Linked DNA regions of Caenorhabditis elegans. The protein of the gene in region 1 interacts with the protein of each later gene in a pairwise test. Each region holds a gene or a part of one and is shown in the gene's direction. Other genes may lie near its edges.

Region 1 (3,156 bases):
ATACCTACACTCAATCTTGAACCACTCTTCCCACCGCTCATCTCATAGTTGATCAACACTTGGTGCGCTAAAAATAAGATGAAAAAACACAAAAAATAGGAAAAATAAATTTGGAGTTTGAAAAATCCGTTTTGGCGGCCGAGGGACTAGAATTCATATTTCGGTCGTCTGTCAGTAGAGCGCAACTGTTCAGTTATCGGTTTTCTCTGCGTCTCTCGTTTCGTAATGTGTTCAAACTCAACGCGCTCTCCAGGTCTGCACAATTTTTCTTTTTATTCCTTTTTGGAGTTTTCCATTTATTTTAAACGTTTCCGATTAAAAATACATAAAATTATTGATTACAGGATAAGGAAACTTCGGAGAAAGCCATCGTATGTCGTTCGTCCCATCAGAAGTTCGACTTGATCACACATTTTTAGAGTGGGACAAAGAGTGGATATTCCAGCGTCTGCCAAAGGTTTGTGACAAGCTTTTCGAATAATTAAAGTGTAAAACCCGTAAGTATTGAAATTAAAATTATTCATTTTTAGACCGAGATTCAAATTCCGCGCGAGTTTGAGCCAGATATCGAAACCGACGCAATTCCCACCATTGCTCGTCAGCCCGCCGACCCAAACACTACCTGGAACGAGACTGGTTTGGATCAAATTCAAATGGGACCAACCATCAATAGTACAAAAAATTAAATCAAGGTTTGTGAAAGTTGATGTAATTTTTTAACTTCTTACACAAATTTTCAGATGGGAAACGAACAAAGCTCGTCAACAGCGGGCACATCATCTAATCCTCAAAATCAACAGTCGTCTTTTTCATTTCTCACTCGAGCCAGTACTAAACGATCAAAAGGCATTATCACGGTCAAAGATGGCAATATTCCTCAAGAAAAACTCGAAGATGATGAAATTTACAAAAGATTCACCGAAATTCCCCGTTTTTTGCCGGTGATTCCAGCCGTAATAGGCAAACGAGATCCACAAACGAATCAAGGAGCTTCTTACACTCATCAAAAAATCAGTTCGCGGCCCTTTTTTCGGTAAGATTTATTCCTTTTATTCAAAGTTTTAAAGTCACATATTCAGACTAGCAACACGATTACAAGAACATTTTGCCGTTAATGCGAAAGCAGTGGCAGCAGATCAAGCTAAAATTCCAGCAACTTGCAAGAGTGTTGAAGCGAAAATGATCAGACTTATTGAAGAAACAAGAGCTCATAAAGAACAACATGACGGTTTTATGGCTGCATTGAGCGGACTTAATCAATTGCACGATGACATCTGTAGTATTCAGGTGCGAATTAGAAAAAGAAACAATATTTAATGCATCATACCAAAATTGATTTTTAAAATGTTGCACCTTACATTTTTGCTCAAAAAACTTGCTCCGTTTATCAAAAATTAATTTTCAGATAATTCTTGAAGATATTGTGCCAATGGTTGAAACGCTTAATGAAATTCTAACTCCCGACGAACGTCTTCCTCCTCTTAATCTTGGCTCAGTGCTCGACAGATCTCCCGTTCCAAGCAGTGATAGCTCACTTCAAAGTACGCCCCGCCATAATCAAAATATTGGTCATATTGATCAAATTGAGCCGATTGAAGAAATCCGCGTAGTTGATCTACCAAAATAATTAATTTGTAAATTTTTATTCTCTTCTTGAATCTGTTGCCCTATCGCCCTTCCCAAAAAGTCTTGAAGGCTTTATCTCACTTTCTTCTCGCAATATCAAAATTCCATTGCCGTTTTGTGATTTTTTATTTAGTTCATGCACATATTTATCCGTCAATCCTATTTTGATTTCTAAATTTATCATAAATTCTAGTATTTTTCGCAAATTAATCTAATTAATTTACTTTGAATCTAACTTATATGGTTTGTGCCTTTTTCATATTTCCATTTCTTGTAATTAATTGCATCATTAATTAATTTTTAGATCACCAGCAATGAATGCGAGCTCCAGAACCAAACCTGCAATCGATTTGAACAAGGTAATATCTTAAAATCTCATCATAAAACTTTAAAGCTAAATTTTTTAAGGTTCCTCCGATCGATCATCACCGTACAGCAGTAACATTCAACTGTCTCATCATGAAAATGACAGAAATGCTCAATAATTTCGGAAATAAAATGGAAGACATTTTGGAAAAGGCAGAGCAGAGTTTAGACACTGCCGATCGAAAGTTACGCTTGATGGAATCGAAATTGGCAGGAATGAGTTTGGAGGATAAATCAACCACCGCCACACCATCATCAGCACCAGAAATAGACGAAATTCACGAATCGAATCCCAGCTCTTCACAAATCGTGGAGGAAACAGTGGAAGAGAAACCAGAAGAACATACTACGACGGTTCTTATCAAAGACGACCCGGCTTATAGTAAATATTTCAAAATGCTGAAATTGGTGAGTTTATCCACTTGAAATTGCTTTAATAATACTGTAATTTTTTTTAGGGAGTGCTTGAAGCTGGTGTAATACAGAAAATGAAATCCGAAGGCGTCGACCCATCAATTTTGAAACGCGGTGATGAACCATCTCGTCCACAGGCACAGACTTCACGGAATTATGAATCTTCTGGAGAATCTACGGCATCCTTCTCTGACTCTGATTAATTTATTTTTTGTATATTTTTACGGGTTCATAAAATGTATAAAACATTATTTTTTAATTTTCGGAATATGATGTACTACACTGTTAACTCGTTTTAACGATTATGATATACTTCTATTCATTTTTTTAAAATTGATATAATATACATACTAATTTCCCTTTCAGACAAAATGAAATCACATTCAAATGTAACTACGCCACAAGCAGAACTTGTGAGCCCAGCCATGGGTGAACTACTCAAAAATGCCATCATGAAATCTGTAAGTTATTAAATTAATATCACATGGAAACTTTATTTGAAATTTAGGCTCCTGTCGCTCTTGCACTTATGAAAGGTGAACGTCCTGGGAAGAAAAAGAAAAATAAAAGGGAAAAACAAGGTGAGCGACCGTTCGAATAAATGATTAGACTATCGGCAGTTTTTCAGAAGATGACGTGGAAGTTACACCAAAGTCGAAAGAGAAACGTCGGAAAAGCGAGAAGAAGGAAAAACCTCCAATTTTGAATTATTTGGACGATTCAGATTCTGATTCGGCAGATTTTTCATCA
Region 2 (6,435 bases), on another chromosome or scaffold:
TTTTGCCTACGGAATTCTATTTTGATTTAAAAAAAAACGACTTATATGGGCATGTAATTGATTAAAAATTAAATTCGGCTCTTTTTCCGATATATTTAGTGAGTTTTTTGCTAGAAATTCGGTATTTTCAAGCAAATTTTTGTTGATGTCCACTAATTCCAAGAAATAAATTCAAAAGTTTCAAAAAAAAAGCTAAACTTAGCTAAAATCTCTGATTTTTATCTCTGGTTTACGTATTTTTGTCGTTTTCTCCGCGGTAAAAATGGGAAACCCTAAAATTAATGGCAAAAGTATTTAAAAATGCGCAAATTTGTGCTAAAAAATGGTCTTTTTTTTAAGTCTCACATAAATTGCCTAAATTTCTGATTTTTTGGAATAAATGTCCAAATTTCAATTAATGCTATTCAAAAATATCTTAAAATGAAATAAATTGAACTTTAAACACCAATTTTGAGATTTCGGGCCTTTTTAGATTTTGTGTGCCTTTGGATCGCGATAAAACAAAAAAAAAACGAACAATTTTTTGCTTTAAATGATAGAAAATAAACCCTAATAACCGAATATAACTGCAAAAAAATTTTTAAAAATTTTCTAAATTTTTTAATGATTTTTTCAATTTTTCAAAAATCAAATAAATGAGCGAATTAAATTTGAATTCCCGCGCAAATGGCGCGAATTTACAGTTTTTTCTTGATTTTTTCTTTTAAATTTGATTTAAGACAACATTTTTCAATTTATCAGACACTTTTCCGTGAAGAAAACTTGATTTATGCATTTTTTCCGGAAAAATGTATGTATTGGTATGTATTAATACATACAAGAAATGGTATGTATTAAATCAAATTTAAAAGAAAAACTGTGAATTTAGCCATTTGCGTGGGTATTCAATTTTTAAAAATTTGAAAAAATCATAAAAAATTTAGAAAATTTTTAAACAGTTATATTCGGTTATTAGGGTCTATTTTCTTTCATTTATAGCAAAAAAATCGAAAAATTCCGAATTTTTGTGAATTTTTATCCAGAAATTCGATATTTTAATTCAAATTCCAAGGAATAAATGCAAATTGCTGATTAATTCCCGAATAAATAATCAATGATCACATCCAGCCTATCATAAAAGTGTAATGTGTCCCCAGCTGTCCCCAGATGCCCCATCAAAATGGATTCCGAATTATTCAATGTACTATCAAATGCATTGGACAGAGAGCTCATCCTCGGAGCTCCTCCTCTCCCGGCTCCACTGATCTCAAGAAACATATCGAAGAGAGAGTGTAGAGATCCCAGAGAGAGCACACCAATTGCACTTGGGCTCCGCGAGCAGAGAGAGAGAGTTTCTCCGGAAATCCTTTCAACCCACACACAGAGAGAGACTCCAGAGCACCTCTGTTCACTAGCCATCCCTCCTACAATTATCCCAATATTTCACACATTTTGTGGCAATTTTTTGGGTTTTATTCCCGATCTAGAGTATTTCTAGTATTTAAGACATGTATCAAACAAATTTCAAGCCGAGGTACGTAGATTTCTATCCGAAATACTTGGTTTTTACTAAGAAAAGTTTCTCAAAAAACGGAAAAATGACCGGAAATTTGAATTTTTATCGAAAAAAAAATTTGAAAATTGTCGATTTTTGGTCTTTGGTAGCTTATCTGGGAACAGTTGCTCACTTGATTTTCAAACTTTCGTTCAAAGTTGATTGTTGACAGCGTTTGCAACAAATCAAGTATTTGGCTGTAATATTTTGGCACATTGGGAATTTTGAAAAAAATTTGCCGCTTCGAAACTGATTACCGCATTTTTGGCCCGAAAATCGCAAACTTTTGCGTCTAAAATCGGCAAACTGTCGGAATTGAAATTTTCGACAAGTTGCCGGTATTGCCGAATTTGCCGGAAAAAACGGCAAAATTTCCGGCAAATCATCAAAATTGACAATGCCGGCAAATCGGCAAGTTTCCGGAATTGAAATTTCCGGAAAATCAGCAAATTGCCAGAAAATCGGCACATTGCCGGAATCAAAATTTCCGGCAAATCACCGGTATTGCCGAGTTTGCCGAAAAACGGCAAATTACCGGTATTGCCGAGTTTGCCGAAAAAACGGAAACTTTCCGGAATCGAAATTTCCGGCAAATTACCTCTATTGCCGAGTTTGCCGGTAAATCGTCAAATTGCCAGAATTAAAATTTCCGGCAAATCAGCAGATTACCGGAATTGAAATTGAAACAGAAAAATTCTAAAAATTGCCTTAAAATGTGTCTAGAACAGCGAAAAACATCCAAAAACGTGCGAAATTTGGTTGGAAAAATCGATTTTTCTAATGAACTGGCCAGTTTTTGGTATAAAAAACCGGATTTTAAACTGAAAAAGGCGATTTTTGACCTCAAAAACGAATAAAATCCCGATTTTCTTCTGTTTTCCCTCACTTTTTCCATCCAAAAACCCTAATATTTTAATATAATAATTTCAGATACCGCGTGCTAGTTCGTAAAATGCAGCCAACAGGGAATCAAATACAACAAAACCAGCAACAACAGCAACAACTGATAATGCGTGTTCCGAAACAAGAAGTTTCAGTTTCTGGAGCAGCACGTCGTTATGTTCAACAGGCTCCACCGAATCGACCACCACGGCAGAATCATCAAAATGGGGCAATTGGTGGCAAAAAGTCATCGGTTACTATACAAGAAGTTCCGAATAATGCGTATTTGGAGACCTTGGTAGGGAAAAACCGCAAAAAAATGGCTGAAATTTGAAGAAAATAGCCCAAAAATTGAAGGAATTAGCTCGAAAGCCCCTTCTTACGCACTTAAAATTTGTTTTTGAGCGAAAAATTTTAATTATTTGTTGAAAAACCTCAGAAAATGCCTGAAAATTCATGCAAATTACCCTAAAAATGGCTAAAATTCGCTCAAAAACTCATTTTTGCTTTCTTTTTGTACATTTTGCGAAAAAATTCAATTTTTGTGTAAGCAAATCGCCTAAATTGCTCATTTTTTACACAAAAACGTACTGAAAATTCATCAAAAATGACGAAAATTAGCTTAAAATCATAATTTGAAGTAATTTCTATTGAAAATTGAGTTTTACGCCAAAAATTCCGAATTTTTGCTGAAAACCCCCCAAAAAATGGCGAAAAATTAGCTCAAAAGCCTAATTTTTGCTCAGTTTGAGCGAAAAAAAGTACTGAAAACCCCAAAATTCGGTCTAGAACTTCCTGAAAATTCTGAAATTTGGCTGAAAATCTTAATTTTTAGCAATTTCTATTAAAATTTGATTTTTGCCCGAAAAATTCTAAAATTGGGCACAAAAGCCCCCGTTTTTGCCCATTTTGAGCGAAAATTTCAATTTTTTGTTGGGAAATTGCAAAAATTGCTCATTTTTCGATGAAAACTTTCTGAAAAGCTCAAATTTCCGCCTGAAAATTCCTCAAAAATGGCGAAATTCAGCTGATTTATCACGCATATTGTACAGTGCGTGCAACTTCTATAGCGCCCCCTATTTTTTTCGTGTTCCGTCACTTTCCCTAACTTTTTTGAGAAAACCATTATAGCCATTCGATTTCAAATGTCAAAAAACCCCCTGTCCGAAATTTTCATGAAAAAATATCAAAGACTACGGTAATTAGGTCAAAAAGTCTGAAAAACGACCGTGGAACTTCTATAGCGCTCCCTCCAATTTTCGCTATTTTTCAATAAAATACCGAGTTTTATGAGATTTCTGAAAAGGATATAGTATTATATATTGAGAAAAATGATCATAAGGCCTCATTTTTCAAAACTAATTACCGTAGTCTTTGATATTTTTTCATGAAAATTTCGGACAGGGGGTTTTTTGACATTTGAAATCGAATGGCTATAATGGTTTTCTCAAAAAAGTTAGGGAAAGTGACGGAACACGAAAAAAATAGGGGGCGCTATAGAAGTTGCACGCACTGTATTAAAATCTACGTGAATCAGCAAAAAATCCCTGAAATTAGTTGAAAAAGTCGATTTTTCAGCTGATTTTTCTAGTGAATTAGCTAAAATTTTCTAGAAAATTGATGATTTTTAGAAGAATTCTTCCGCAGAAAATTTCAAATTTAGCGGCAAAATTCTGAAAATTGCCGAAAAAAAAAAACCAATTTCACTGAAAATGTACCTAAAACAGCGAAAAAACATCAAAAAATTTGCGAAATTAGTTGAAAAAATTGAAATTTTTGAGAAAATCAATATTATCTCACTCTAAATTTATCGAAAAAATCAATTTTCGCCGGATTTTTCTAGTGAATTGGCTCAAATTTTTCAAAAATTCAGTAGTAAAACGTATTTTTTTACAGAACAAATCCGGAAACAACAAAGTTGACGACGACAAGCTTCCAGTATTTCTGATAAAATTGTGGAATATCGTAGAAGATCCAAATCTTCAATCAATTGTTCATTGGGATGATTCTGGTGCAAGCTTTCATATTTCTGATCCATATTTATTTGGGAGAAATGTTTTGCCGCATTTTTTCAAGCATAACAATATGAATAGCATGGTCAGACAGTTGAATATGTGTAAGTTTCCGAGAAAAAACGGAAAAAAATTCATAAAAAAACTGAACTTTTTAAAATTTTTCACAAAAATCTGACGTAATTAGTTTAGAAAATATCGAAAAATGAATATTTCTGGGAAAAATATCATGAAAATTGACATTTTTGCTGATACTTTCAATTTTTCAGCAAAACTTAACGTAATTAATTTTAAAAAATCCGAAAAATTAATATTTCTGTAAAAAATTGAGATTTCCCTATACAAACCCAAGAAATTACAACTTTTTGGTGTTCTTTTCAATTTTTCCACCAAAACTTAACGTTATTAATTCAAAAAGTATCGAAAAATGGGTTTTTTCTGTTAAAAAAAAGCATACAAATTGTGTTTTTTTTTTGCAGAAATATCCATTTTTTAAAAATGTTTTTGGAATTAAATAAGTCAAATTTTGGTGGAAACATTTAAAAATATCACCAAAAAGTTGTAATTTCTGGGGTTTTTATGGGAAAATTTTTAATTTGTATGAATTTTTACACGGAGATACCCATTTTTCGATATTTTTGAAATTAATTACATTGAAACTTGCTGAAAAGGTTAAAAATATCATTAAAAAGTTGTAAATGTGAGGCATTTTTTTCAACAAAAATACAAATTTTTGCACATTTCGAATTTAATTTTTAAATTTAAATTTATTTCAGACGGCTTCCGAAAGATGACTCCACTGTCCCAAGGTGGTCTAACTCGAACAGAATCAGATCAGGATCATTTAGAGTTTAGTCATCCGTGTTTTGTACAAGGACGTCCCGAATTACTATCACAGATTAAGAGAAAGGTACAGGAAGCGGCAGAAGCTCAGATTTTTCAAATTTCTATCATTTTTTCATCTGCAGATATTGCAAAAATTCACTGGTTTTTGCTTAAAATTTGAGTACTTTTTGCGAAATTTCGCTTTTTCTACACTAAATTTGCGAAAAAGTAGAATAAAGATGATAATTTTTGAAAAAAATTCCAAACTTTTAAATTTTAACTTATTTTTTTGCAGCAATCGGCAAGAACTGTGGAGGACAAGCAGGTTAACGAACAGACGCAACAAAATTTGGAAGTAGTAATGGCAGAGATGCGTGCGATGCGAGAAAAGGCAAAGAATATGGAGGATAAGATGAATAAGCTTACAAAGTTCGTGGAAATTTAAGAAATGGAGAAAAAAAGAGCAATTTCGTCCGGAATTTCAGTTTGAAAACTGAGTAATCGGCTTATTCCACCCTAAAATGATTGAAAAAAGCTCAAAAATCGTCCGAAAAGTGGAAAATTGAGCGAAAAAAAACGATTTTTCTTTGTAAATCCCATAAAAGTGCAAAAAAAACACACACTTTTGTTTGGATTTTTCAATTCAAATGGAATATATTCTGTTCTGAAAATTCTGAAAAGCACCTTTTTGACACGAAAATTGCTCAAAATTTTGCGGTTTTCGAGCGACTTGCATCGAATTTTTGCCAATTAAACAATTTTTTGTTAAATATAAAATATTTGAGACGAAAGGAACAATTTTATATAATAATTCCATTTTTGCAGAGAAAATCGCGATATGTGGACACAAATGGGCTCAATGCGTCAACAACATGCTCGCCAACAGCAATATTTCAAAAAACTTTTGCATTTTCTCGTCTCTGTCATGCAGCCAGGATTGTCGAAGCGTGTCGCGAAACGGTAATCAATCTGTCGTGTTTCGGGCAGAAAAATCCCAAAAACTGTTTAAATTTATCGCAAATTTCTCGAAATGGCTAAAATTAGCTTAAAACTCACATTTTGCATTTTTTTTTTTTGCACATTTTGAGCGAAAATTGTTAATTTTTTATTGGAAAATCGCAAAAATAGCCTATTTCCTCAAAAAAAAAGGCAAAGCTCAGCTGATGATATTGGCTGAAAATC

Evidence for each region. Proteins that work in one complex are often made in the same cells at the same time.
Region 2: the proteins of ddl-1 (region 1) and hsf-1 interact in binary tests that used the Caenorhabditis elegans proteins (3 or more experiments, as listed by UniProt).

What each region holds. Positions count from the first base shown.
Region 1 is NC_003280.10:5,646,659-5,649,814, reverse strand, and holds ddl-1 (WASH complex subunit homolog 3), read left to right. Parts: upstream 1-1,930; 5' UTR 1,931-1,940; coding exon 1,941-1,985; intron 1,986-2,034; coding exon 2,035-2,400; intron 2,401-2,450; coding exon 2,451-2,609; 3' UTR 2,610-2,656; downstream 2,657-3,156. Other genes in the region: putative serine/threonine-protein kinase zyg-1, read right to left, coding at 9-41; F59E12.17 (Anaphase-promoting complex subunit 13), read left to right, coding at 374-457, 531-686; sam-4 (BLOC-1-related complex subunit 5), read left to right, coding at 741-1,033, 1,080-1,287, 1,406-1,627; F59E12.9 (TFIIS central domain-containing protein), read left to right, coding at 2,778-2,867, 2,915-2,987, 3,035-3,156. UniProt on the Caenorhabditis elegans protein: Acts as a component of the WASH core complex that functions as a nucleation-promoting factor (NPF) at the surface of endosomes, where it recruits and activates the Arp2/3 complex to induce actin polymerization, playing a key role in the fission of tubules that serve as transport intermediates during endosome sorting.
Region 2 is NC_003279.8:11,958,014-11,964,448, reverse strand, and holds the start of hsf-1 (Heat shock transcription factor hsf-1), read left to right. Parts: upstream 1-2,464; 5' UTR 2,465-2,486; coding exon 2,487-2,714; intron 2,715-4,312; coding exon 4,313-4,532; intron 4,533-5,204; coding exon 5,205-5,338; intron 5,339-5,548; coding exon 5,549-5,682; intron 5,683-6,078; coding exon 6,079-6,213; intron 6,214-6,435. UniProt on the Caenorhabditis elegans protein: Functions as a stress-inducible and DNA-binding transcription factor, playing a central role in the transcriptional activation of the heat shock response (HSR), leading to the expression of a large class of molecular chaperones, heat shock proteins (HSPs), that protect cells from cellular insult damage.